4 linked regions of the Medicago truncatula genome follow. The protein of the gene in region 4 binds, or shares a complex with, the protein of the main gene of each other region. Links are inferred from orthologs where the notes say so. Each region holds a gene or a part of one and is shown on either strand. Other genes may lie near its edges. The genes, in order: U1 small nuclear ribonucleoprotein 70 kDa, serine/arginine-rich splicing factor RS2Z32, serine/arginine-rich splicing factor RSZ21 and suppressor of mec-8 and unc-52 protein homolog 2.

Evidence for each region.
Region 1: suppressor of mec-8 and unc-52 protein homolog 2 (region 4) and U1 small nuclear ribonucleoprotein 70 kDa share a complex: the UniProt entries of both Arabidopsis thaliana proteins name them as parts of the spliceosome. The link is inferred for Medicago truncatula from reciprocal best matches to the Arabidopsis thaliana genes SMU2 and U1-70K.
Region 2: suppressor of mec-8 and unc-52 protein homolog 2 (region 4) and serine/arginine-rich splicing factor RS2Z32 share a complex: the UniProt entries of both Arabidopsis thaliana proteins name them as parts of the spliceosome. The link is inferred for Medicago truncatula from reciprocal best matches to the Arabidopsis thaliana genes SMU2 and RS2Z32.
Region 3: suppressor of mec-8 and unc-52 protein homolog 2 (region 4) and serine/arginine-rich splicing factor RSZ21 share a complex: the UniProt entries of both Arabidopsis thaliana proteins name them as parts of the spliceosome. The link is inferred for Medicago truncatula from reciprocal best matches to the Arabidopsis thaliana genes SMU2 and RSZ21.

What each region holds. Positions count from the first base shown.
Region 1 is NC_053049.1:35,603,310-35,611,301, reverse strand, and holds the start of U1 small nuclear ribonucleoprotein 70 kDa, read left to right. Parts: upstream 1-4,975; 5' UTR 4,976-5,147; coding exon 5,148-5,237; intron 5,238-5,413; coding exon 5,414-5,528; intron 5,529-5,635; coding exon 5,636-5,715; intron 5,716-6,378; coding exon 6,379-6,454; intron 6,455-6,574; coding exon 6,575-6,639; intron 6,640-6,720; coding exon 6,721-6,783; intron 6,784-7,992. UniProt on the Arabidopsis thaliana protein: Mediates the splicing of pre-mRNA by binding to the loop I region of U1-snRNA.
Region 2 is NC_053048.1:47,217,099-47,224,524, forward strand, and holds the start of serine/arginine-rich splicing factor RS2Z32, read right to left. Parts: upstream 3,014-7,426; 5' UTR 2,901-3,013; intron 2,544-2,900; exon of another isoform or gene 2,527-2,543; 5' UTR 2,511-2,526; coding exon 2,404-2,510; intron 1,681-2,403; exon of another isoform or gene 1,430-1,680; coding exon 1,390-1,429; intron 1,217-1,389; coding exon 1,121-1,216; intron 1-1,120. Other genes in the region: ABC transporter G family member 20, read right to left, coding at 6,525-7,426. UniProt on the Arabidopsis thaliana protein: Probably involved in intron recognition and spliceosome assembly.
Region 3 is NC_053049.1:29,287,143-29,294,307, reverse strand, and holds the start of serine/arginine-rich splicing factor RSZ21, read right to left. Parts: upstream 3,005-7,165; 5' UTR 2,868-3,004; exon of another isoform or gene 2,846-2,867; intron 2,752-2,845; 5' UTR 2,741-2,751; coding exon 2,652-2,740; intron 1,851-2,651; coding exon 1,762-1,850; intron 1,634-1,761; coding exon 1,390-1,633; intron 405-1,389; coding exon 279-404; intron 163-278; coding exon 156-162; 3' UTR 1-155. UniProt on the Arabidopsis thaliana protein: Probably involved in intron recognition and spliceosome assembly.
Region 4 is NC_053043.1:19,409,783-19,417,558, reverse strand, and holds the start of suppressor of mec-8 and unc-52 protein homolog 2, read right to left. Parts: upstream 3,017-7,776; 5' UTR 2,842-3,016; coding exon 2,795-2,841; intron 2,679-2,794; coding exon 2,541-2,678; intron 2,297-2,540; coding exon 2,247-2,296; intron 247-2,246; coding exon 135-246; intron 26-134; coding exon 1-25. UniProt on the Arabidopsis thaliana protein: Auxiliary spliceosomal protein involved in splicing of specific pre-mRNAs that affect multiple aspects of development.

The sequences.
Region 1 (7,992 bases), on a different chromosome or scaffold from region 4:
TTTTGAATAGACATGTGTATATTGCTTTGTCCCATTAAGCTAATAAGTTAGAAGTTAGAACTGCACAAATTGTGAGGTTTCCATGTTTCTCTATCAGTTTACTAGTTTTGGTATTTTTGAGCTTCTGCATTTTCCTGTGAGAAGGATCAAGTAATTGATAGTGAAAAAAACCGACAACGCCTTATTACAATGCAGATATGACAAAGTTCAGAAAACAAATAATGTTAAGTCAATAATTTGATAGCCGTGAGCACTAGAAACATCAAGCAACACTTCTTATACATATATAGCTGAATCAAATCAAATCAAAGAGAATAATATTGACAATTCTTGATAAGAAGTGTGGTGTGTTGTTATTGACAAACGAGAATGAACGTCCTAGTTTTGGAGCACTGTTGGGGACTTTTGAGTGTTTGAGATTCACATTTACACAGTGCAACTTAATACAAACTAATTTTATTCATTAATTATTTAATATTTTTGTATGTAGTATGTACTTTAGCATTACACAAGTTTATTTTTTGAATTAGAGATAAAAAAAATTATAAAAATAGTTCATTACTCATTAATGTTACATGTAGATTGTATTACAAATGTTGTGATTGTTTCACATTTATGTTTTATGAACAACTATAGATCAAGATTTTGATCTCCTACATCCGTCTCGTTTGAGTTATGTACACTTCTTAAAAAAATAGTTATGTTGCTTATAATGGTAAATAATATGTTAAGAGTAAAATTTCCTTTATACCTAATTCTCCTCATTTGCAACCGGTCATTATTGTTTAGTATTTTTTATTTCTCGTATGTTGTAGTATATAAATGCTTAGATTGCAACATTTGTTTTGTTATAGTATACTTAACATTATTTGTTAAGGTGTATGAATAGTTGGAGCACCTTAGTTCTTAAAAAAAATATTTTGTACTTTAAAGAAATCCCAACACAAGTATCTAAACATGAGATTAAAGTTTTTCGTATCCCACCATAATTGTTCTATATATAAGCACCAATGCAAAACAAAATATGTTTACTATAAATGAACACAACACTAAAATACCGGTGAATTATGATTAATTTTTGATTGACAACCGAACTCATGAAAACTAAATCTTCATTACGAAGAATAGTTTTTATTTGAAAGCATTACGAATAATGGTTTTTATTTGAAAGTGATGACTGATCTTAAGAATAGTAGTCATAAGATTTTTCTGATGACTGATCTGAAGATTATTGAACTAGTGCTAGCTGTTGTTGCCGATGTTTTCTTGTCCTTTTTCTATTGCATTCACGATCTCCCACTTTCTATGGAAATGTAACAAGTTTTGTAATTTGTGAAATGTACTGTAACTCGAGTTGAGTTAAGAAATTTATTGATTTGTTACTTTTTTGTTTATAATTATTATTAACAAGGTATACCTATAGAAATACCTGATAGGTCGATTGTTGAGATAATTTGTTTGTTGAAAGTGCTCCGTTTGTTAGAGGATAAGATGATATCCCCAACTAGTCAAACCATCTCAATACATTTTGCGAGAGAATTTCATGAAGATATATTGACATTTGCAGTTGAGATTGAGGCAATTGTTGAAGAGATTCAGTTCCAACAATTTTCTCATGAGCATCGATGGTTTTGTAGTTGACCATCTATAACTTGAGGTTGAATTTTTTAAAAATGAAAATTATATTGTGTGCTCACAGAAACATGATCGGAACTTTATTTTTTTGAACATAAAGAAAACCATAAAAGAAAATGTTTTACCATTATGTAAATGATTATTTTACTAAGTAGACAAAAATGATTTAGTTGTCATTATTTATATTACTTGTATTACTGATGCTTATTGCAGAATGAATCACCATTGGGTTTGAAAACATAGTTAACTCTCCTAGGTAAATTTAGGATGATAAAGTGTTAAATCTTTAGTTTTATATTTTTAGTTACATGCCCATTTTTATTTCTCTTGCGTTTTGATATGTGATTTCAACATGATTTTTTCAAAGCTGCAAATGTTAGCTTTTGAATAGACATGTGTATATTGCTTTATCCCATTAAGCTAATAAGTTAGAAGTTAGAACTGCACAAATTGTGAGGTTTCCATGTTTCTCTATCAGTTTACTAGTTTTGGTATTTTTGAGCTTGTGCATTTTCCTGTGAGAGAGATCAAGTAATTGATAGTGAAAAAAATTGACAACGCCTTATTACAATACAGATATGACAAAGTTCAGAAAACAAATAATGTCAAGTCAATAATTTGATAGCCGTGAGCACTAGAAACATGAAGCAACACTTCTTATACATATATAGCTGAATCAAATCAAATCAAAGAGAATAATATTAACAATTCTTGATAAGAAGTGTAGTGTGTTGTTATTGACAAACGAGAATGAACGTGCTAGTTTTGGAGCACTGTTGGGGACTTTTGAGTGTTTGAGATTCACATTTACACAGTGCAACTTAATACAAACTAATTTTATTCATTAATTATTTAATATTTTTGTATGTAGTATGTACTTTAGCATTACACAAGTTTGTTTATTTTTTGAATTAGAGATAAAAAAAAATTATAAAAATAGTTCATTACTCATTAATGTTACATGTAGATTGTATTACAAATGTTGTGATTGTTTCACATTTATGTTTTATGAACAACTATAGATCAAGATTTTGATCTCCTACATCCGTCTCGTTTGAGTTATGTACACTTCTTAAAAAAATAGTTATGTTGCTTATAATGGTAAATAATATGTTAAGAGTAAAATTTCCTTTATACCTAATTCACCTCATTTGCAACCGGTCATTATTGTTTAGTATTTTTTATTTCTCGTATGTTCTAGTATATAAATGCTTAGATTGCAACATTTCTTTTGTTATAGTATACTTAACATTATTTGTTAAGGTGTATGAATAGTTGGAGCACCTTAGTTCTTAAAAAAAATATTTTGTACTTTAAAGAAATCCCAACACAAGTATCTAAACATGAGATTGAAGTTTTTCGTATCCCACCATAATTGTTCTATATATAAGCACCAATGCAAAACAAAATATGTTTACTATAAATGAATTTTAATATAGAGATGCAAAACTCTCCAGTTATGTTATAAAGAACACTCAAAGAAACTTGTAAGAAACCAAAACATATAAGAACCATCTTTGATCTTATGTTTAATTAAGTTTGTTATCATTAAAACATTAACTCATAAGGATTTTTGTGATATTCCTCAACATTTGCATCTTCAATGACAAACACTTCTTTTGTTGTCTCGTCGTTTGATTTCTTGTGAGACTCATTGTCTGTTGTATTGTTACCATAAGCTTTCAGTTTACCATTAAATTATTTATCTTAACTATCAAATTGATTCCAAATATTGTCAACGAATAAATACTAAAAACTAAAAAAACGTGTTTAATTGTTATTTATTACCTTTTGAATGTTTGACATGAAGTTTCATTCATGTTCAGCGTAACCTCCAATTTATTCATGCAAAAGTGTGGAAAACCACTTCAAATTCTCTTTGTTTTCTATATCCACAAATATATGCTATTATAAATGTAAATTTGCATACGAAAGCCTTAAAGAAGTTCCAGTCCTGGTGGTTGAGTGGCAGTTAGGGATTTGGTGGCACAATAATGAGATGAAAGAACTCTTCATTTGAAATTGTGGCTAACAGCAAGAGAAGAAGACACGTTGACCGTTTGCGATAGGGCATGCAATAATGTGTTACCCATGGAAGTAAATACAAACAAAACATAAAATTGTATTAGATAATCAATGGATACTTTACGTGCAATGTGTATGCAAATTTAAAAAGGTCCTAGTTTCTACTTCATTGTCTATTTTCTTTATGGTAAATTTAAATTGTCTATTTTTTTTATGGTAAACTAGCGAAAACAAATAATTTGAATTGGTTTTCAACACTGTTGCCTGACGACCTTTGATGCTACGTTCAACATGGATGAAACTTCATTTCAAATATGCAAAAGGTAATAAATAACCGTTAAACATATTATTTTAATTTTTAGCATTTATTTGCGAGTATCAGAGATCAGTTTGATAGTTAACATGAATACTTTAGAAGTCAATTTGATAGCGAGTGACATAATTCAAGGACGATCTTGATTTTCAATGAATAATTTAGGGATCGATTTGACATTGCAACAATTTGTAATGACTTTTATTTCAATAAGGAAAAAAAAAAGGAATTCACAATTTCAATCAATTTCCTCATCGAATACATGACATTTGAGTTTGCAATTCACGTTAGTGCTTAACGTTATATGTCATCACTGTTAACGGTGAGATTTGACGGAGGCATGACGTTCGCAAAATTTAGGAAAATTTTCGTTATTTCAAATAATTTGAAGACGAAATTGAACGATGTGTGCAAATTCAAGGATGAAAATACCTATTCACTTATAGTAAAGCTTAGGCTTAAACACCCTTTTGATCCTTTATCTTTATTTTGACATTCATATTGGTCCCTTATTTAAAAAATGCGCAAATAGGTCCTTTTCATCCATCAAAGGCCAACAACGTTAATTGCAGTGTACATGACCATGTAAGTTAACATCTCATTCTTCCTACTTTATCAATTCTCCTATAAATCAAAATTAAGGTTCATTGGAACCCATATATGATATATCCCCCTATTCTTCACTCCAAATTAGAGATTGACGTCAATATTCTTTCTGTATGAGCAAAAATGTCAAAATCACGAGATTTATCATCATTATTCCTTTTTGAAATTGTTGAACAATGATATAGAGAATAGATCCAACACAAATTCACATAAATCTCATACTTCAAAACCATGAATTCGCATGAAAAAGACTAACACGATACCCAATTAAACAAATTAAAAGATCTTTCTATATTTTTTTTTTAATAAGAGACCAATATAAACTTCAAAATAAAGGACCAAAAAATATTTAAGCCTAAATCTTTATTAGCCCTTTGTGACTCTTCAAACACCTCCAAAACAGACTTATGTTATGCTTAAAAAGCGTACTTTTCCTCCCCTCACTATAAATACTTCTCAGTAGCAGTCAGGTTCGAGATTCAGCTAGCGCTCGCTCATAGCCGAGACGCAAACCGGATCTAACGATCTCATCAATTCAATTCTCTCGTGATTTCATCGAATCTTCACCATGGAAGATCCTCTTCTGCGCAACCAAAACGCCGCCGTTCAAGCTCGTACCAAAGCTCAGAACCGCGCCAACGTCCTTCAACTCAAACTGGTATAGATTCATACTCTTTCCCTCACTTTTCGTTGTTAATTTGACCTAAGTTTCTTCATAATTAACGAAGTTGTTGTTGATTTTCAATAGTTAGGGTTTATTGTTCGTAACCCTAGATATTAGATTAGTTAATTTTTGTTGATTAATTTGATTTGATTGTAATTGATTTGATGCAGATTGGACAGAGTCATCCAACTGGATTGACTGCGAATTTGTTGAAGCTATTTGAACCTAGGCCGCCGTTGGAGTATAAACCTCCACCGGAGAAACGAAAATGTCCTCCGTTAACAGGTGTTTGATTATTGTTTTTGTTAGGTCTACATGATCATTTGTTGTGAATTGATGTTAATTATAGTTAATTATGCAATTAATCCTTCGTTTTATGTTTTTTTGTTTAGGGATGGCGCAATTTGTGAGCAAATTTGCTGAACCTGGTGAACCGGAATATTCTCCGCCTGTGCCAGTAGTTGAAACTCCTGTAATGTTCTGTTCTTTTGATACTAATCATGCTGGAATTATTAGTTTTAATTGTGTTAAGCATAGTTTCGTAACTGAGTGTTTTTTTTTTTTTTTGTCGGGCATGTCTTTGGTGGGTTGATTTGATGCAATGAGTTTATATTTTTTTTAGTATATTTATTTTTTCATATATCTTTTAAAGTTTATTATGCTTTTTAGAAGATGTCCTTAAGAAAACAGTTAAGTTAACTAATTATTAGTTTGCAAAAAAATATTTGTCCTCAGAAGTGTTTTGTTGCTGCTATATTCTGTAGTTAAGTTTTACTGTGTAATATTGTGCAAGCACAATGTTTAACTGGCTAAATTTGACTCATTGCGCCTGCTTTTTTCTACGGTACTAATTCGTTCTAAGAAAATATCCGAATCAATGTTGTGGTCATGAATAACAAATAGATAGTTTGGGTACTCAACATATTAGTTGAAAAATACAATTACTATTGCATATTCAGTCTTTACCAGGTTCCAGTTTTTCTTCAATTTACTTAAACAAGTGGTTATTATAATGTATAGTTAATGTAGCAATTGGCATATAAAAGCAGTAAAGTAGTTTAAATGCCAAAGCCCTTGTTTCAATAGTGAAGAGTATAATAAAGGCATAATCGCTGATCCATTTTGGTATACTCAGGCAGAAAGAAGGGCAAGAGTGCACAAGTTAAGACTGGAGAAGGGAGCTGCAAAAGCTGCTGAGGAGCTTGAGAAATGTGATGACTCTTATATATACTGTTTTAAATTTGTTGATTTTTGTGGATTATGTTATCTGAATATTTGTTGATTTTTGTGGATTATGTTATCTGAATATTTTTCTATATGTTTCAATGTAGATGATCCACACAACGATCCAAATATATCAGGAGATCCATACAAGACTTTATTCGTGGCCAGACTTGTAAGTTATATTTTCCAATAGAGTAACTACTGTGCTTTTTCATATTGCTTGTCATATCTTATTGATTCCATCTTCCAACAGAGTTATGAGACTACTGAGAGCAGAATCAAAAGGGAGTTTGAGTCATATGGTGCAATCAAACGGGTAGGTATTTTGAATATGTTCAAAAGGGTTCGGTAAGCTTATCATCTATGTGTGGTTCAAAACTTACTCTATTTTACTTCTTTTTGACATCTTTACAACTTTTGAGCCTTCAAACTGTATTATTTTCAAATTCAACAATTTCCATATACAGTGATGTATCGCAGAAAACAAAATACTAGCTATTTGAGCATAATACAATCTTTATACCTTTCCTTTTGCCACTGAAGAAAATGTTTTTTGTGACTTGAGAGGTTTTCATGACTAAATAGCTTATCAGGAAATCAGTCTGCTATGTGTAATATCTATCTCATCCTATCCGAAGTTTCAAGGGTATAGAATACGAACGTTCCTGATTTAATTTGTCAATTTTAGTGGTTTTGAAATGGTAATAATCAATGCTTTTGGTTGCTCCACCAATTTGTTGTTGATTGCTTTTTATTTATTTTCTTTTGTCATTTTCCACTTTGCTCCATTCCAATTGTTAATATAATATGGATGGGATATCTTGGGGCTTTGGGTCTCTAGAAATTTTTAACTGCAAATTTAACATCTTGACACGAGAAATGCTAGAAACACTCTTTCTAACACACTCTCGATCAGAGTCTCCTATTGCGTGAAACTCATGTGGGCCTCACCACTTTATGTCGGACCCATTTCCAAAGTGTGGTACTTACATGAATTTCATCCAATAAGAGAGTGGGTATTAAAGAGTGTTAGAAAGAGTGTTTGTAGCTCCCCCCTTGACACAAACACCTGGTAATGGTTTATCATCTTAATATACGTCCCTGGTAATGGTTGATTATCTCGATCCACATCCCTGGTAATGGTTGATTCTATAACAATAAAACCCAAATTCCATTCAAGTGCTTCCTCCTGCATGGTATTTTAGTTGGTAAGAACAATATGCAAAATTGTGCCTTTGGCCTTGTTTTCGATCAAGTAAAGGAGACTGACAACTTCTGTTCTTTTCCTGCACTGGGTAAAATATGTTGGGTGTATTTCAATCTCTTCCCTTTTTTATTAAATTCTTAGTTAGCCTACATTTGATGTTGCTATAACTTTATTTTTGGCTTTAAAGGCTATCAAAACAAAATCAGCTGTTGAGAAGATGTTATGGTATTTTCTATATTACCCAGAGTTGTTTCCATTTTATCAATTTTAAAAATTAATATCCCTGGTAAGGGGACACTAGTCAACACCTGGTTAATT
Region 2 (7,426 bases), on a different chromosome or scaffold from region 4:
AATTCAAGCCATAAAAATAAAAGACAACAGACCAACAATGTAATCATAAATTAATCACTTTTTATTGTGCTGCTAATGTTGTCATTAACGTAATTACTTTTTATTATGCTGCTATATAGCAAGAGGAAGAGTTAGTTACCAATTCCAAAACCAAAATAAAGCTAGTAAACCTCCTTGAAAATTACAAAGTTAAATTGAAGGCTCTTCTATTCATCTTCAAGGGATAATCCCAATTAGAAATTTAAAACAGAATGTGCCAAAAAGCAAGAATAGTGAACTATAAGACAATAAGGATTATCAAAGAGTTAGTTACCAATTCCAAAACCAAAATAAAGCTAGTAAACCTCCTTGAAAATTACAAAGTTAAATTGAAGGCTCTTCTATTCATCTTCAAGGGATAATCCCAATTAGAAATTTAAAACAGAATGTGCCAAAAAGCAAGAATAGTGAACTATAAGACAATAAGGATATCAAAGAGTTAGTTACCAATTCCAAAACCAAAATAAAGCTAGTAAACCTCATTGAAAATTACAAAGTTAAATTGAAGGCTCTTCTATTCATCTTCAAGGGATAATCCCAATTAGAAATTTAAAACAGAATGTGCCAAAAAGCAAGAATAGTGAACTATAAGACAATAAGGATATCAAAAAGCAAAAATATCCCTTGCATACAGATATACAGACATACAGATATCGGACAGACATACAGATAAGCATCCCTTGCAAATTGCCAATACTATCTCCGGAATCAAATAAAAGCAAAAATTGGTCAAATAAAGGTGATGAATTTGGTCCTAATTTTGGACCAATTAGGACAAAATTCAAAAACTATCTTTGACATAAAATTTGGACCAAATTCATAAACTTCCTTTGACCAATTTTTGCTTATATATGAAATCAAAGGGAGTGTGTAATTATATGCGACTATCAGATTAGACACTCGTCAAATATATACATGGATGGAGCAAGCACTTTCAAATGAAACATCTAAAGCATCAGCATTAAAAAGGAACATCAATACAAAAAAAAAAAAAAAATCCTTGAAAGCTAATTATAAAAGAGACATAACAAAGAAACAAAAAAAAAAGGTGTAATAAGTACAGCCGGAAATTAATTCCTACCCCTTTTGCAAATTCCACAATAAGACGACTTCCATCAATATCACGACCATCCAAATTGTATCTTGCATCATCAGCATCTCGAGGATCTCTAAATTCCTGCTCAAAATATGTAAGGAACAAGCCACAAAAGTAACACAAATCTTACCGCACAATCTATAATTGAACTCCCCCCGAGTAGAGATAATAGAAGCCACCTTTGGGCAGAGCAAAGAACAGAAATCAAAGTGAAAATAAAAAAGTAACAAACACGGGAAAGGGTAAGAACTTACAACAAAGGCGTAATCATGCTTCATATCCACATCTCGAACGCTGCGGAAATGGTTTCCATAAACAGTAAGGCCATCATTACTTAACTACTGGAACTGTATGATACTTCGCCCCTCAAAGACGAACTAAACACCAGTTTGTGATTGTTGCCAATTCCATAAAAACACGCAATAACATTACAGAAAGAATCGCCAAAGTCAACACTCAGGTAGGAATTTCCACCAATTACACCAAGATTACACCAAGGCCACCCTCCCACCACAGACCTCCGGGTTTAGTGAAAACCCAAAAACCTTCAACAAGATCATTTAAGTTAAAAATGACACCTGTGGGATACGGTTCCCACGCATAACATGAGGTATAACCAACATAAATCCAAGCCCAAAACAAAGCTTGGAAAGAACCTGTATATTGTTCCCTAACTTTAGAAATAGGGCCTATTTGGATTGGCTTAGTTGAGCTTATCTACTGAATTAAGTTTAGTGAGACTGTTGAAGAAATTTTTTGAAAACAGCTTTTGACTATTTTAATAAGCTTTTTTGAGTTTATTTTCATAAGTTCTCCAATATAGGTTATGAAAACAACTTGCAACATATACAAAAAGAATTTAACTTTATTTCATCTATTATTAACGAAATAGCTTATAGCTTATGTAAGCATATACATAAGCTGCAAATAAGTTGTTTATCCAAACAGGCCCACAGACAATGGCACCCCATGCCAAACCCATCACTAATCTAGCTCGGTTGCAAATCAACAAAGGAAGTGACACAAGGAGACATGGTAATAATTTTCCATTCATAAATTGGTAAAGCCTAAACAAATCCGACAAACACAACAAGGTCTGGGATCTCCTCTAATAGTCTAGGAATTAGATACACAACCAGACATGGAATGTGATAGAACTAACAATTGCACACAAAATAATACAAAAGACAAAAATTGCATAAAGCAAAACCCAATTAAACAATTGTGAATGCAATTGAAATTAAATCAGTGTAAAACTTGAAAATTACCTTCCATATCTGCTGAAGACCCGCTCCAGATCACGGGAACGAGTTCGTGAAGACAAACGACCCACATAGAGGCGGGTATTGCCATACTTATCATCGTAGCGAGGCATTGTCGATATCTTCTAGCTGTATGCAATCAATAACTGAAATTGGGTTATGAATCAACAAAGTGATTGGAAACAAAAAAAAAAATCTCTTTTTCTCTTGATGGTAAAGTAGATAAACAGTTGAAATTAAACACCCAAAAAAAAATACGAGCATAGATAGATATTGTCTAGATCTAATTGAAATCAAGCTACGAAATTTAAATCGAAAAACAGAGAAATACAAACCGATCGATGAAATTGGAAACTGGGAATTGAATGGTTAAAGGGTGAATCAATTGAAGGCGATATGCATGCAATTACAAGATCCGATGGAAAAATAAAAAATTGAAAGGGAATAGGAAAATGAAATTGAATTGAATTGGGGAAAAGAGAGAAGAGAATGAGGATTGGTACCTTGGAGGAGATTGCCGAAAACCTAACACTTTGAAACTGGATCGGCTTCTTACCTTGCGTTTCACTATTTATATCAAGTGCGCTGCCAATGTCTTATTTTTGGAGTAAGTTGGGTACATGGGCCTAGTGGGCTTCTTATGATACGATCTTATAATGGGATCTTCTGCGATACATCACATAAATTTATTGTTTTAACGATCATTTTATAAAATAAAAAGTTATTTATCAATATTTATATTTTAGAAAATATCATTTTATAAGAAAAACTATCATTTTATTATTTATAAGAATCATATTAAATTTTTAACATTTTCTCATAAAAAATCATAAATATTCTTTGTTATGAGTAACAAAAAAAAAAAAAATTATTTCGTCGACACTTTTGATAAATAGATTCAATATTATAATTGTTAATGATAGAATACAATTGTTTTTCTTAAAAAAGCAACTCGTTTAATTATTTAATTTAACGATTTGGTGTACCGGTACACTCAAATTTTTTAGTATACCATAAAATTTGTCTCTTATAATAAGGACCGTGTTCTTTTTCCACCTTGCGAGGTCTCACGCGCCCTATATAGTTCGGATTTTAGAATCCAAACTTCATAAAAACCCTATAAACCTTTAAAAACACGTTGAAATATTTCAAATCTTAATATCTAAAAAGGTGTGCAAGAAACTCGTAGGGTGGACAAAGTAATGACCTATAATAGGATATTTGCCAAAAATAAAATAGCTTAGTAACTTGTACTTGCACCATAAACATTTATTATTCTGACCCTATAGTCGATTTGTTCTTTGTGGTTTTGTGAAACAATTGTTGAGTGTCGGATTGATGTTGAGAGTATACTTTTAATCGCTATAGTTGTGGTTTGATTGACTTTGGTGTATACTTTATAAATTCACCTACATGAATACATAAAGGTTAAAATATGTATTTCATCCTTGCAATTAGGGGTCGTTTAAAAATTGGTCTTTGTATTCGCTAATCCTTGCAATTTACCTTTGTATTGTTTAATCATTTAAAATTTCGTCCCTCTCCCCACTTAATCAATGCCACGTCACTAATTTGATGACGTGGCAATCACTGTCACACATGAAATTCCAATTTTACCCCGGGGTTTTCAATTCTTTCTTCAATTTCACGTGGCAATGGACGAAATTTTAAATGATTAATGATTGCAAGGCTAGTTTGCAAGGATTGGCGAATACATGGACCAATTTTTAAACGACTCCTAATTGCAAGGATGAAATACATATTTAAGCCATACGAAAATGGTCGTGTTTAGCAATGACGGATCTAGGACCCACTTTCCAATATCTACCACACACCTATTTTTTTGGTTCGACAATAGAAATAATCTTGAAAAAACTATGTGGTTGTGTTTCTCCTACCCAAACTTCATTTCAAAACCAGATATTAACGTCATTACCAACTTTTCTCCCGACTACTTTATAGAATCAGTTTCCCCTTCGTCTAATAAGGTCACCTTGCTCAAGTCTCTCCACCATATTGAATATTTCTTATTCATTCCAATCCTACTTGCTTTCAATACCTTCTTCCAAAAGAAGAAAAACATATGCTTCGTTATCATGCACCACTTCCATTTAGATAAATTAGTATGTTGAAAATCACCAAATCCTTCACTCCTAACTCACCACATAACTTTGGCCTACACGCCTCACTCCATTTTACTCAACTTGTTTTTGTTTTCCTCTGTCACCCTTCCCCACAAAAACTTCCTTTGCGGCGAGTTAGGCGTGAAGGAACTGATCGAGTTCAACAAACTCATTTTTCTAAATGGAAGAAATGTATAATAACTAAACAATTTTTTTTTCCTTATAGAAAAAGGACAATTTCGAGGTAAACACAACTTGATATTCTAAAAGGTGACATGTAGAATGTTGGGATCAATCCCAATACTAGATTAATAAAAACCACACTTCCTCCAAAATTAACATATCTACTCCTCTAAGAATGTAACCTTTATTTATTGCCTCTACCATCGGGTTTCACGTTGAAGCTCTTCTTGAATTTGCTCCACCAGATGGCCAAGATAAGTAAACAAAAAAATTCTCACTTTGCAACTCATAATCTTCGTTACTTCCTCTACATTTTGCAAAATTAACATTTAACCCGAACATTAATTAAATCCACTTAAATATTACCTTCATTGCTCAAAGATTATCGATACAAATCTCACCAATGAATAAAGTATCATCAACATAATGTGGATGAGATACAACCACCTCCGGATTCTCCACTAGGAACCCTTTACAATATTTATATCCTACCGCTTTTCTCATTAATGATCCTCAACCCCTCCGCCACCAAAAGGATAAGAACTATGCCAGCTATCCTACCGCTTTTAAACCTCTACTTATAGCAATTTCCTCCCTTAGATTTCCATACACCAAAACCGGCAAACTACCAGAGAAAACACAAGCCCGTATCCAACCAACCCATCCACCTATCGTCAAAGCCAACTCCCTAAACATATATTAAAAAAATTCCAACCAACTGAATTGTAAGTTTCTTCAACATCTACAGATTAAGCTATTCTTTTAACCTTTTCGCACAAACCAAATTCCTGAACAACCAACACTCCATGCACCAAATACCCCCCTTTTATAAATGCCGATTAATTCTTTGAAAGCAAGTCTGTGGTCATTACCTGAGTCTCTTTGCCAATACCTTATAGAAATCAATACCTTAGGCCGGCGATTCTACTTCCTCAATAGGGAAGATGAAACCGGCACATACTCGAAGCTAAATATAGAAGCAATGCAGAGTGGTCCCTTACGTCTCATTGTGTGTTGTGAAGTTTTTGTCAACTAGGTACATAATGTGCCACATAATCGAGTTGAACTATTGATAGAGCGACTTAATTAATCAATGTTCAGTAAAGTTAGAGATCAATTAGAAATTTCTCTAAAATAAGGGACGAGGTGATTCATGTGTTAAAAGTCATGAACATTTTAGAGTATGAGTGCTATCTGACATCTAAATTTGCAGTGATATTTGAGGTAAACGAAAACTACTAGAAAATTAAAGATTAAGCATGAAAATAAATTGAGGATATATATAAATTAAGGAAAATTCTACGGTGAAGTTATGAGAATGACTTTTCTGGTGAAGTTAAATGATTAATCATTAAGTATTTATGTATTGTGTCATTATATCTTTACTTATTACAATTTGTGTCCCTAATTAAATAAAAATTAAACATAGATTATCATTTGTGCACTAAGATTGAAATTTCCCTTAATATTTTGTATGCGGACTGATTTGTAATAAGGTAAAGTTTAGTTTTAGAGTGGTGCACTAGCAGGACACTAGACATGACATTTGCAGTTATATTATTAGCTAAAAAAAATAACTTTTTCAATACTTAAAAAAAAAAAAAAAAAAAAATTGCACCGTAGAAGCCCCAATTAATTAATCCAACTAAAAAATAAAATTATACTAGAAATACAATCATCATCTTTTTTTAAAAGAAAAGCACAAGATCACCGTTGATAATTAAACTAGCCTTAATCACAATGATACATGAACCTATTTGTAATATTGTTTTCATGCTACAATACTCTCTCAATATGATTATTACAATATGATTTTTGTGTCTATTTCCTCTTGTTCTTGCTCCCAAATAGCAACGCCAAGTAAAAGAGGAAGCGAAAGAAGAATCCCAGAGCAATGGTGATGAACAAGCAGTTCCATTTACTAAGTTGTGTGACTCCTTGCTGCTTCAGTATATCAGCTCCAGTAACAACACAAGTAGAACTCGTTATGTTAGTCCCTAGTGTACTACTCAAGCTCTTCAACAGCTCAACCTTCAAACTCCCTGGGACATCACCAAGCGGAGTGTTATCAAACATCTGAATCCCTTTGACGAAGCACCTTGGTGGCTTAATATCAAACTCATTCTGAAGCACTCCTTCAAAAGGGTACTTCACCAGTGATAGGTAATGGAACCATATCCAGTAAGGTGGAATCCTATCCCTACTTATGAAGAATCCACTGAAGAGAAGAAAGTAAGCTAAAATAGCAACCACAACGGTGAAACCAAGCATCACATGCGAAACAACGCCGGAGAGGAACGTGACGAAGGAGCTCCCAGCCCAGAAGGAAGCTAAAATGGTGAAAAAGTAAAAGAGGAAACCAGATGTCCCGCCGGCAAGTCCAACAGACCAAAAAGTGGTGACGGAGAAGGCGAAGGAGAGGAAGATGAGTGCAGGGAGAGAGATGATGGAGTGTGCAAGGACATAGGAAGAACGACGGTAAGCGTTGTAAGCAGTTTCTCTCATGAAAATGTAACGCTCTTGAAGGAAAACGGGGATAGCTTCAGCACAAGTGTAGAAGGTTGTTGACATGGCAAAGGCGAAGAAACCCAAACGCTCTTGAACACCTTTTGGTGAATCGTCAAGACGGTAAAAGATGGTGGCCAAGATTCCTCCGGTAACCAGAACTGCACCGAGACGGATTCCGAATAATTCCGGCATCCGTCTTGAGTTTAGTAGAGACC
Region 3 (7,165 bases), on a different chromosome or scaffold from region 4:
TAGCAATCCAAGTTCATAGTAATACCCATTCCATTGTCATGACATAACATAATTAACATGTATGTTGTATGCTCACCCAATCCTAGAGAAACTAGACTATAGCAGAGAGGGCTCCACAACAATTATTCATCATTTGCTCTGTTCACAATCAGATCTTAATCTCTGGAAAAAAGAAAAGGGAAGATTTAAAATATGGGTAATAAGTTCTCAATTCTCATGCCATTCATTAACTCAAATCACATCATCAGAGAAACTGAGTTGAACATAATCAATCGTACCCGTTGGCATAAGGTGAATCACGGCGAGAATAACGGTATGGAGGAGGGGATCTGCTGTAGCTACGACCACGAGGAGGTGTTATGCTACGTCGTCTTGGAGATCTTCTCCCACGCGGGCTATAACTCCTGATAAAATGAAGCGAACCCAAATGAAAACAAAACATGAGAAGATGAATATATCAATAAAAGAATGGTTGCTACAAAATGACATGTTTGAGATGCTTATTATAATGCACTTACAAATTGTACAGTGGAAATGAGGAATTTCAAATATTATGAATGTTGTCAATTTGACATTGAGATCTTTTCCAGCCACTCAGTGGTTAAGTTGAATTTATTTTAGTTAATGATTTATGAATATCCTTTCCAGGCTGAGTGAGAGGACAGGCTAAGAATGTTATAAATCATTGCAGTTAAATTTTCCCAAGCAGAGAGAAATTTCAATTAAATAAATGATGTGAAATGGTGATACAAATTGACAATTAAATAGAGCTTGCAATAAAGAAGTCAACAAATCTACCAAATTAACAAGGAATAAAAGGCAAACTATGAAGTACATAAAATGAGAAGTGTTATAAGTTGGGGATGGATGATCATGTCGGAAAGCTAAAAATCTGCCATATCCGCCATAAAACGCCACCATCCTTCACAATCTTCCCCGGGCGTTTGTCAAAAAATACACTACCGCAATCCGGCATGGCCAACATTTGACAACGCTAAAAATGAGAACCGAAAAAGTGTTGTCCCCAACATAATTTGCAGAACAATCACAAGCAAGCACCTCAGCAAAGATATTGAATTTCATTCGAATAGAGGCGAAAGATATGAAAAATATAAAAATAAAAAAGATATGATGCACGCCGTTGATTATTTCACCAACTTCAAGCAGGTTATGGATTGTGTTAACATTTTCTAAACAAATTCCTGTTCCCATATCAGTGCGTAAAAGTACAGTTTTGCAATCAATGTATCAAAGATATTTGCATTCCTTAACAATGACGTCCAATCCAAACTCTAACAAAATAAAAAGCTAAAAGCTTGCTAATTGAAAAAGTTGCTATTGAAATGCAGAATTTTTTGGATTCATATAAAGCGTGTGCACATAACATACCTGCGATCATAACCATAATTTGGACTTCCACGGCGCCGATAATAAGGACTAGGACTTCGTCTCCTTCCATTTCCTAGGCCTCGTGAACCACCGCGTGAACGGCACTCCCGAGCAAAGTGTCCAGGTTCACCACATTCATAGCATTTGAGGTCATCCCCTCCGCGTCCACCACGCCCACCACCACGGCCTCCTCCTCCTCCACTCTTAGAATTATGAGAAAGCTCTACACGCCAGCCATTTTTTCCTATACGACATTCATACATTATGATAACCCCAAATCTCAATATGATGCATAAAAAGAAGAAAGACAAATGCTAATCACCAACAACATACACTCAACAATGATGACAAATTGACAAATAGGAAACTTACCATCCAATTCATGAATTGCATCAAGGGCGTCCCTCCGATCATCAAACTCGATAAATGCATATCCTGGTGGTCTGCGAGCCACCCAGACACTGTATTGCAAAAAACAATAATTAAAATTTAAGACTTTAAATCAATAATAATGGAACAAATTATGAAAAATGTGTAACACAAACAAAATGAAAACTAAGTTCATGAACAAAACCTATATCAATATTGTTAATCACAACGCTGGCCTTACCATAAAGCAACTAAAGCAATGGCTTTAGGCCTCTAATTTGCATTAATATTTAGCCTATAAATCTAGACCTCCAAATAATTTGTATATATTTTTTATCTACAACATATTTTAGTGTTCTCCTATTAGAACATAATTAATGGTGTAGCAGCGGTAAAGTACTCTTTCTTCAGCCGAATGATCGCAGGATCGAACCTGCCATTTTCATTTTGGGAGTTCACATTCCTCACATTTTTTGGAAAAAAGAACATTAATTAAAATAACTAAATAAGAAAATATCTACTGTTGCAGTAGGATCAAACCCGTGGCGCCATCTATCCTAGACAAAATCTTAACCAATGAACCGTTATTATGCCTTCTTTGAATTTACTTCAATTATCCATTCTCTTTACTCTCACTTAATTAGTTTCTCCCATAAAAATGTTCATGCAGACAATAACGAACTAATTATTGATAAATAAATAAATAACTATAAAAAAATAAAAATAAAAAAAATAAAAAAAACAAATTTACAAATAATTATCAACTTGACGTAAATAATTAACTGATAACTCAATCATTAACCACAATTTCAATGTAATCATTCCTAAACTGAAAATATTTCTATCAATTCAAATAAATTTTCTTTGTTGAATGAGAGTGAAGAAGAAATTACCTGCGAAGAACACCATACACACGAAATTCATCTTCAAGTTCCCTCTCAGTGACTCGAGGGTCCAAATTCCCAATATAAACCCTAGCCATTCTCTCAAAACCTGTACAAAATTATTATTGTGAAAACGAAAAAGTTACTAATCATCACCCAAAAAAAAAACGAAAAATTTGAGAAGAAAATGTACGAAATTTTACAGTTTGGGAAATCAGAGATCACCTGCAAGTGAAAGAATTGTACAGAATTCTCTATGATCGTGAGTGAGCGTGTTAAGTCCCTAGAATTTCTAATGCTTCAAACGATGGCGTTTTGGGCTTATTAGTTTTAGTTGGGTATTCTAATAATTTGCTTTTAAACCCCCTTCTTACTTTCTTCACTTTTGGGCTAGATATTTAAAATACAACACCAAAGTGTCTCGAATATGATATAATATATTTATAGATATCAAATTTTTAACATCAACTTCAAGAACACAAAACCATCACAAAAAATTTTAAGGCTTAATTAGTTTTGATCCCACTATTTTTAGTTATTCGCAAAATTAATCCCCCAATTTTAAAATCACTCGATTTTAGTCACTTTATTCTATTTTTAGACTAAAAAAATTGTGATGGTGAATTGACATAGTTTGAATTACGTGTCATATGATGTGACAATAAGAATGACCACTATAAGTTCAAAACTATGTAAAAGAGATCTAAACTGAATGATTTTAAAATGGGAGGACAAATCTCATGAGTGAGTAAAAATAAGGGGGACTAAAACTGTAATTAAGTCAAATTATAAATTGTGAGTCTGTGTGTTAAAGAATATAGTGGAATGTGAGAGTTTTAAAAATAATATTTAAAAAACGGTCTCTATTTAAGTTTTGTCATTGTAATGTCCCTTATTTGTGTCCATTTTTTTACCTGGTCAAACTCGGTCACTTGCATTTGGAGCGAGACAGGTTTTATACACCCTTAGTTTGGACGAGGTAATTGAATATACTCCCTCCGTCCCAAATTGTATGTCGTTTTAGGGAAAAAATTTATCCCAAATTATATGTCGCTTTACAATATCAATGCAACATTAATGTTACTTTTCCTATTATAACCTTAATTATTTATTACTCTCTCTTCTTTCAATTCTTTCATTTATCTTTCCCATATTATTTATTAAGGATAATTTTGTAAAACAACTCATAATATCTTTTTTCCACACTATTAATTGCATTTCTTAATATGTGTGAAATGCCCAAAACGTCATACAATTTGATACGGAGGGAGTATTAGAGAAATTAAAATTCTATGTAATTCAAATCATTCGATGGCATTGTCTTCACTTTTAAATGTTTTTATTTGGATAGAGTAATAAATCGAAAAATAGAGGTCAATTTGATGGTAACTGAGAAACATTATAAATAGTACATTTATTGTGCTCATTGTTCAAGGCAAATTTAAAGCATGATCTCTTTGTGCTTTGAAGTGGTTTAAACATCAAAATTGCTTCAACCGGAACTAGATTTAGTCTTGAAAACCATATCGTCTTCTAAAATAACTATATAATGATGCAGGATTTTATAATCACTACAAAGTAAAAGCAATAGATATGAAATAGATAATGGGGCACAATGAGTCTTACCAATATAACTACCATAAGAATACGAAGCTATGATGGTAGGACACACCATTTGTATCTTGAAGGAGAGCAAATGATAATTTAGAGTTACCTCATCCTTAAGTAATGATTTCTTACAACACTAGAAAGGATTGGATTTGGAATTGTTCTTTATAGTTATGAACTCCAATATTCCAAAGCAAATCTTTTATAAATTACATATTTTCTAAATCAAATCAAATATAAAACTCTCAACAATCAAAACAAATCTAGCTAAACATTAAGGAGAAAAATAAACTTGATCACAAGTCTATGTGGATTGATATTTTTATCACGATGATAAATTCGTGCATTTGCGAACGTATCATACTTCTGCAGACAGACGTCCTTCTTGAGTGATCCTTTTGATATGAATATTTAGACTTTGAGTGAGCATGTGTCATATGGTATCCACAGGCCGCAATAGAGCGTGCGATCCACCAAGCTTGTTTTGTCTTTGGAGAGATTCATTTATAAGGTTGGAATTGTATGCGTTCATGAACTAACATGCAAAATAGCCAAAATTAAAGAAGGGACATGGATTTTGTTTCTTCAAAATGTGCCCTTGGTTTTTTTAATTTGCCATTATTATTATTTTCATTGCATCTTTGTTTTAATCTACTTAATTATAAAATCATAGAACAATCTATGCATAAGCATTATAAATTTCGACAAGCTTGCTTGGTTTAGGTGGCAGTTGCTCAATTTGAGAAAGGTATGTGTTAATTCGATAAACTTTTGTGCTTGTTCGCCGTTTTCTTTTCGGTTGCGGTGAATTAGTGTTTGTCGGGTAGATCTATAACGCCTATATGCGGCATCTTTGTATTGTTTTTCCTGCCGTCTCTTTACGTCTTGCGAGAATTTCAATTTTATTAAATTTTACCGATTAAAAAAAAAAGTTATTATTCACGTTCTCATGAAACTTAGAGAAACTAGAGGCGTTTCTCTGTTTAACGTTGTTAATGTTGACTTTAACAAAAGAAGATGGAAGATAATTGCTTTTCTTAAGTCTTCAATAACATTAACTTAGTATGCCTAGTAAGATCACTAGTTGTGAAGGGATTGTCTGACTATTTATTTCTAGTGTGAATCTAGACCCTCTGTTGAAAATTCATTTGTGGAATTTTTTTGAGATCAACAAAATGATCGACATCAAGTGGTTAATGATCTTCTGTTAATGATGAATTGTTTGAAAGAGTCTGAGTCTAAACCCTTGCAAGAACAAAATTTTGTCGGAGCTTACCTACTTCTTAACTGAATTTAGGATTATAACTCCTTCCTTTAGAACTTGGAGAGTTAAAACAAAAAGAAAAGAGTTGATTTGGTATCCCGATTTTAATGAATGAAATGAATTGTCCAATTATCAGTGGACCAGATATGAGATGATTATAAATGGGATTGTATCGGTGATCATGTCTTTATTTCTATCTGTCGTGAGTCAAACATGAAATCTCATTTCACGTGAACTTTAAAAAGTGAACTTTTTGTTCAAAAACATTATTAGGAAACCAAATAGATGCCATATCAGATGGTAACATATACATGTAGTTCTGTCCAAACAAAATATGCACGTGGAGTAATGTGGTTTGACACATTCAAGATAATCTAATTGTAGATTGAGATCAAACGGTTCAGATTCTTAATTTAATATTTTTTTTATTATTTTAAAAAATAAAATGCATATTAAAATATAGATCGTTCGTTCTTTGTTTAAGAACCAAATAGTAATGCAGGTGCTAAAAGAAACTAAAGAAACATGCTTTGAGTAATTATCCAAATAGTAATGCCGCTCTCGAATTAAAAATGAAAGTATGCTACAGTAACCATGTTCCTTTCGTGATACATTCGTGAATTGTTTTTTGTTTGAAGTAGCATTTCACAAATCTAAAAGGTAAAGACCTTATGTTAACAAATAACAACTTAATGCTATTAATTTTCAATATGAACACGAAAAGCTAATATATATAAGTCACTGAAAAGAAAACCACAAAATCACATTCATTTGTTTATAACATTGAGTTTTGAATTTCAACAAAGTCATTATATAGCGTATGTTTGTTTCAGCTTTAAAAAAATAGATTTTATGTTAAAAGAATTTAGGTATTTTTTTAGAAATTTTAAAAAAAATCTTTAAGTTATTTTTGTTTGCCTACTATCCATAAAAATTCATTTAAAAAAAAAAAGAGTTTTAACTTGTACATGTCTTACCTCCTTGTTTTTGAAAAATAATAAATTTTGAAAAAAGTTAATCCTAATAAATTTTCATTTTAGGGTCAAAATAGAATTATTTTTCTAAAAATCCTAAACAAACATTTAAAAATGAAAAAAGTGATTTTTTTTTATTTTTTAAAATTCAACGGGGCCATACTCCATATAAGTATGAACAATCTTCATGACCGGTATAAGATTTTTTATGCCCCGGGTGAATAAATCAAGTTGTGCCCTTTTAATTATTTGAATGTTTTTCTTATTAAATTTTTTGTTGCAAAGGACTCGTTTATAATCAATGTTCTCTAATAATATATTTCAATATAATTAATCAAAGTGAGTTAAAACAAAATATATTTTTATATTGTACGAACTAATATATTTTAATATAATTAGTGCCCCTAGAAAAATGGTGTCATAGGCCGTCGTCCCTCTTGCTCACCTTCAGAGCCACCCGCGACAAGTGTGTACTTTCTCATGAATTATATCTAAACAAATTTTGTATTTTCGTCATTTTGTAAACCTCTTCGTCGTAAGACGTGTCTACTTTTCAAAACAAAATCAACAAATACGTAGAAAACTAATAAGTCGGCCATAACTTTCTCAATTTAGGTTTTCTCTTCTATTTCTTGCATGGAAGGGGTGATTTTGAGTTAATTTGTGACCCGAAATCA
Region 4 (7,776 bases):
CACTTTCTGGTCTTCCTTGGGTGCCCTACAAAAGAACAAATTTTACTAAACAATTTTTAAAGGACAATAAAATGCTTTAATTGATAGCAGTACAACCACATAACTACTACTGCAGAAAATTCTGACTCAGTCACCTGGGTTTCCCATCGCCATCATCCCCAGCATCTGGCTTCTTAATCTCACTTCTTACTTTGTTCAGCAAAGCATAATCCAAACCTTTAACCAAATGTGTATGCTCCACATCACCTGACCAATGTAATTAACGCAAACAAGGTAAGTTATTAAAATAACACATTCAGTTAGGGCTTCATGTTTTAACCTACTCTATCATAAAGCAAGAATGTCAAAATGTAATCAAAAGCGTAAGAATATAAACCTGAATAAGAAAATATCACGAGGCATGCAGCATAGGAAATTCAAAATTCCAAGTTAAAACCTACTCACTAGATATTAGAGTCTACAATATATGGAAATTTGAGATCATCGAGGTTTAGGATGACAACTATGCGTATGTGCATCACAAAGCCCGACCCAGCCCCCCTCCTACAAATAAGGAGGGTTGCGTTAGACAAATAACAACCAACGTAAAACTTTGTTAAATCTTTATGGAACAAATCATTGATGATCTGGAAGGAGGTACATAATTGCTAAATTCGAGGTGAAAATTGGAGAATGAACTATTTACTAAGCAGCATGGTTTAGGTAATATTAGGTCTAATTCACAAAATAACGAAGAAACAGAAGGAGATGTCAATTACAAGATCCAACCAGAGTAGATGAAATGGAAGAACACTTAGGGGTAACATTTGACAAAAAAATACCACTCAGAAGTCAGAATTAGATGACACTTTTATCGCACAACTACAACACTGAATGTTGGGTAGTAAAGAGCCTATGAAAAGGTAAGTTCAGTGTTGCACAAATAAGAATGATACAATGGATAAGTGATCAAACAGCAAGATAAAAGTAGAAACAAAAGTATTAGAGAAAAAGTAGGGGTAGACCCCATTGTTTAAAAATGTTAGTACTAGTAGAGACTCATTTACGATGTTTTGAGATTCTTGGAAGACACCTATAGATGTATCGATTAGGAGGCTAGAGCAAATTAAATATAGTCCAGACTCTAATAACTAGGTATAGAAGGAGACCCAAATAACCTATATACAAAAGCATTAAAAGATTATATTATTCGATAAGATTTATGATAAAAAAATTACAACTTTGCTTGATCCATGTAGTCAACCCCATCTAGTGGGAAAAGACATTGTTTCTAGTTGTTGAATTATTGTCATGATGAGGATGACAACAACAAGTGAATGTTCAATTTATTTTTAGGTTTCTAATGCACCAAAGTAATAAACCTTCCCAGAAACAAGAATTATATAGTAATTAACAATTTTATGAACATGCAGAAGAGACCTAAAACAAGCTTTTATGCAGTGTGTCAATCGCAGATCGCAAAAAATATTGGTTTGTTCCAATTCCACTATGCTACAGTACTAAAGCACGCTATCTGTATTGTCGATGGCTCATGGCAGAGAGCCAAAAATGTAACAAACCAGACCAGTCTCCTATTGCTATTTGACAAAACTTTGTACTAAATTGTGTATCGCAGAACAACAGTGGTTTATTAATATTTCATTACACTATAGCGCAGCCATTTGACAACGCTGAATTTAGATTAACAGTTTCCTTGCAAACCAAAACAGCTTTTAGAACAATAGCAGTCTGTTAAACTTTCATTAAACTATAGCACGGCCAGTTGACAATGCTACTTTTAAAATAACTTTCTTTGCAAACCAAGACAGTTTTGAGAACAAATAGTCATTTGTTAAAATTTCATTAAACTACAGTGCTGCTATTTGACAACACTGCTTTAAGACTAACTATTTCTTTGCAAACCAAGACAGCTTTTAGAACAATACAACAACCGAGCCTTTTTCCGACTAAGTGGGGTCGGCTACATGGATCAAACGACATCATAGTGTTCTATCATATATCGTATATGTATCCAATTCAATAATATCTAAATCTTTCGTAATAGTTTCTCATATAGTTTTCCTACATGACTACGTCTTTCTCTACCTTTCTGATTCGAATACCCTCTATCTATCTATCTACTCACCTTACTTCAAAATCTACAAGTCTTTTTTCTACACTACCGGTTTGTTAAAATTTCATTATACCATAGCACAAACCAAGATAATATTAATCATTGTAGAACAAAATAAAAGTACAAGACGAACCTCCAAGGTACTTGCTCTTCTCAATAGACAATTTGTGCGCATCAGATGCCCTATAAAACATAATCAACATTAGACAATACCAAAAAAAGTCTCTTCTAGCTTAACTATCGTCTCGAGTTCAAACTCAAGTTTGGGTATGCAACAACATTAAAACTGATAGTTCGCCACCCATTTGGGTTGCTTGAGAGATTAGTCTTCATAGTTGCGCGCCAATTCACACCCAACAAAAAAAAAACTCTTTTTTGTGCTTCATGCATTGATTAAAAAACAAAAAGGCAAAAATCGAAACTTTACCTGATATCAACGGTACCAGGAGGAGCAACAGCATGAAAACCAAGTTCAGTTTGTTCATAATCAGGATTTTGATCTTCCCTACGTTCTTTAGCTCGATCTCTATATTTTGGCAATTCTGGTTCTTCCGGTTTCTCTTCCCTGTACAAATTCAAACACTTTACTATTTGCACCCCACAGAAGTTACTATTTGCACCTCCCACTCCATAAAAAATACTATGATTTTGTAAAAAAAAATGAGATTGGATGAAACTTACTTGCGGCGAATTGGTTTATCTTTGTGATTTTTCTTCGATTGTGTCATATTTGAAACTCGATTGAAAGTGTTGAAATGTGAGATTGAATTTTTGGATTGAGTTTTGTTTTTGGTTTAGGGTTTTGCGAGGGAACGAGAGAAAGAAAGACGTGAAGCTGCTGCTGGTGAATGAAGGAGATTAGAGAGGTTTTAAATTACGGAAATATCCTTCACTTTCAGGACTTTTGGGCGAAAGTAAGAAAAAATGAGGAATTGAAGGAAAGATATAAAACAAGTAATTTTTGGCCTCTAAAAAAAAATATTTTTGGTTTTTTTATTGAAACTAATTCAATAAATTTTTTTGTTCTAGTGGCTAGAATTCACGTGTTCGTGATTCGAACTCCGACCCCATATAATAATGTATTGTCCTACCAATTGAGTTGTGCTCACGGGACCAATAATTTTTTTATGAGTAAATAGTCAATTTTCCCCCTGAAATTGTAAGTTTCATCAATTACCCCCCTGAAATTAACAAAACTTCAATTACCCCTCTAAAATTTCACAACGTTAGTCAATTTACCCCCTCCGTCAAATTTTTCTGTTAGTGAACATGACGTTTTGCAAATACCCCCCTGAAGTTTTGCACTTATGTGCAAAATGCCCCCCAAACTTAAAAATTTATATTATTTTTTTCTTAAAAACAAACAATTAATAGTTAAATATTAAAGCTAACTATTAATTTTGGAGTTTGGAAAAACTACATACATATATACATCAAAATAGGGAAAAATGTTTATTTTTAAAGTGACAATAATGGTTATTTCTAATAGACAAATTATTATTTTTAGAGGTTTATAAACAAATTAATAATCAGATTTAAATTTATATTTTCTCCTTCACCATCTTAGTCTTTTAACTCCTCCAACTCCTTCAACAATTTGCTCAAACCATTTAAACTACACAACCCCCAATATTAATCCACAAATCATCCCATTATTGTCACTTTAAAAAATACATATTTTTTCCCATTTTGGAGCCTATTTTGATGTATATATGCATGTAGTTTTCCCAAATTCCAAAATTAATAGTTAGTTTTAATATTTAACTATTAATTGTTTGTTTTTAAGAAAAAAATAATATAAATTTTTAAGTTTGGGGGGCATTTTGCACATAAGTGCAAAACTTCAGGGGGGTATTTGCAAAACGTCATGTTCACTAACAGAAAAATTTGACGGAGGGGGTAAATTGACTAACGTTGTGAAATTTCAGGGGGGTAATTGAAGTTTTGTTAATTTCAGGGGGGTAATTGATGAAACTTACAATTTCAGGGGGGAAATTGACTATTTACTCTTTTTTTATTGATAGAGAATTGATTTAATAAGTTCCTCCGTAGTTTTGTCATCGTGAGTATATATCAATTGACAAAATAATGTATTGTTATCTATGTATGGGAGTCGGGTTTCAAACATCAGATACTCTACTTATTTACCTTAACAGATGAATTTTAACCCATCAAACAACTTGACAAAAAATGTTATTTTAGGAAGAAAAATTTGTGTCAACTATAAGTCGTTTTTACAATTTTAATGAAGCTTATATTTTATGTTATATTCTTAACTATTTATTACTCTATCTTTTTTCATTTCTCTGATTTTATCTTTTTCATATCATCAATGAATGATGATTTTGTAAAATAATTCATATTTTTTTCCTAATACTTTCTATTTTTTATACAAAATTGATTAGATTTCTTAATTTATGTGAAATTGTTGAAACAATTTATAATTTAGGACGAAGCAAGTTTAAGTTTTTTTATTTTTATTTTGAGGTGGAGAGTAGTAACTACTAAGTTGTAAGTTAGTTTGTTGACATTACCATCGAGAGTTTGAATATTTTTTCGTTCCGACAAAATTATCAATTTTTTTGTCTTTATAAAAAAAAGACACTTTTTTTTTATCCTTACAAAATTTGTCGAGATGTATTTTGGTCATGTTGTAAAGTCAAGATGTATTTAAATGATTTTTTACACATAAATTTAGGACTCATAAATGTTTTTTTTGGAACATCTGTTTATAAACTCTTAAATATAGACGAACTCAAAAATATATTCAAGAAAACTTTGCATGATTTTAAATAACTTTCTAAATCATTCTTATTTCTTTATTGACTTGTTTGAAACCAATGGAAACCCAATAGGCATGTAGGGTAAATTGAGGATCCCATTATTTCCTTAATGGACCATCCGAACATCCACCCGTATCCAAGTCCATATCACTTAAATAATTAATTATTATTTTAATAGAAACTTAATAAGCCTTTTTCATTATTTGATCACTAATAATTAAGGCCCTTAAAAATAAATAGATAAAATAATTAAAACATATATATATATATATATATATATGCCCATATAATAATTATTGGAATATTATAATTAAATAAATTATAATTAAATATTTCAACATGGCATTGAGACTTGGGTTGGTTCAGAGGTGGGTGTGGGTTTTTTCCTTGTTGCTGCTGGTTGTTGTTGCTACATTGGTTGTTTGTTTTGGGGGTCTGACAGCGTTTTGGGGTGCACGTTATTGTTCCTTTTTGATTGTGAATTCATGTCTTGGCTTGTTGTTTAAGTGTTTTGACATTATGTAAGATCTGATTGTTTTACAATATTGATTGAATTATGGTAATGTTATTATTAGTTTGATATTGAATTTACAATGTATAACTTCTCAATTTTAGTGTCACAATATAAACTCAACCCTTTACACAAGGACAATGATGGATAAAAGAAAACAATATAAGCTCCACAACAAAATTTGTTTTTAGTGTCACGGCTTAAATTTGATTATTGTTCGAAACACATGATTGTCACTCGCTTCAACTAAAAACTTTCTAATTATCAATCCATATTATATTTTTGTTGCCAGTGAAGGAATGAAATGGACATGTCATGTATAATATAAATGAATGAATTAATTGTGTTTGCACTGGACCTGCCAAGTTAAGGAGAAATAATGAAACTGTCGTGTATCTAAAACTGCACATGTATGCTTAGTTAACTGATACTGATAGTACAAAACAAACTTAGGCAACTCACTATTTTTATTAATAAAAATTACAGGCATAAGGTATAACAAAATTACAAGCATCATTTCAAAAGTAATGTTATACCATTCAATATCGTTTTACTCGATTCATATTTTTCAAATTTGACCGTTTGATTATAAGTTTATATCATTTAGATGATCCATGTAAATTTTCACATAAAACTAAAATCATTTGATATGTTATTGAGACCCATCAAGATAAACAATTTATTCATTTTTATAGAACATCGTTAATCTTAGTGGTTCACAAAAACATATCAAATAATTTTCGATTTGTATAAAATTTTACATAGATGACCTATATGATATAAACTTATAATTAACGGTCAAACTTGAAAATATTAATCGAGTAAAACTATATTGAATGGTATAACATTGATTCAACATTACTTTAGTGTAATTTAATTCCTTTTATATATATATATATATATATATATATATATATATATATATATATGTGTGTGTGTGTGTGTGTGTGTGTGTGTGTTGGTAGGTAATATTTTTAGAGAAATGTTAAGGTCACACCACTAGTTCACTCTTTTGACACATTAAATAAAAATTAGTCATGTGTTATATTTTTTTAATTCAATCTACTGATGACTGGTTCATCCTTTTAGTGTTACTAATTATTTTATTTTTTATTATTAAATTAGCTTTTAACTTTTTATCTCATGTGATCCAACTCCCACACACACATTCTTTTCATGTTCACTTTCAGGTTCTTCTCTATCAATGAAATTGGCTGCTTTCATAAAATTGATTAAACCTATTTTCTCTATCAATGAAATCATGTTCATGTTCTAACTTGCTTTCACTCTTTATTTATTTTTTTTATTTCCATTTCTCACCATTGACATGTACTAGTACGACATATTTCCTTGTTATTATTTAAATCAAAGTTTATATTGTTATCATATCATTATGAGTTATTGTTATCATTTCTTATATTAGTTTATTATGATAGTCATATCATATATGAGTTATCGTTACTATTTAAATCATAGATTATATCATGTAAGAAATTTATTTTAAGTAGATGAAAAATATAGAGATTATTATCAAGAGTTTCGAGATGTTATTTCATTTAATACAAATAAGTATAAAATGTCATGTTCTCCTTTTATTGGTGTGAATAATAACTTTCAGTCAAGGTTACTTGGTTACACATTACTAGTAGATTAGACCTCAAATACTCTCATATGGATGATGAAAACATGGCTCAAAACGTCGGGCGTAAAACCTCCAATTGCAATAATATGTGATCAAGATAGAGCAATAAAAGTGACTATCAGAGAGATATTTCCAAACACTCAACACTGATTTTGTCTTTGGCATATACTTAGAAATGTTCTTGAGAAGTTTTGTCATGTATTAAGAAATATGACGACTTTATCAGATATCTAAACTCGAGCATTTATATATCTTGGTTAAAGCAACTATTTATACATAAATGACAAGAGATTGTGAAATTATTTCAATTATATGGGTATGGGTGAATTAAGTCTTTATATGATAAACATGATCATTGAGTTCCTATTTACATAATGGATACTTTTTTTTGTGGTATGTCAACAACTCAGATATATGAGAGCATTAATTCATTTTTCGACAAATATGTAGGTTATAATAAAACTACATTAAATGAGTTTGTTGAAAAATATATAGTTTCCTTGCAAGATAGAGAAGAGACAAAAAAACAAGTAATTGATTTTAATACATGACACACGGAACCGATTCTTAAAACACCTTCACTGTTTGAAAAGCAAATTGTACACATGAAATCTTCATGAAATTTCAAGTTGAAGTTTTGGGATTACTTGGAACTCATATTTTGAATGAGACTAAAGACAATCAAATTACCACCGTAGAAATCTTAGACTTTCAGAAAAATGAAGAG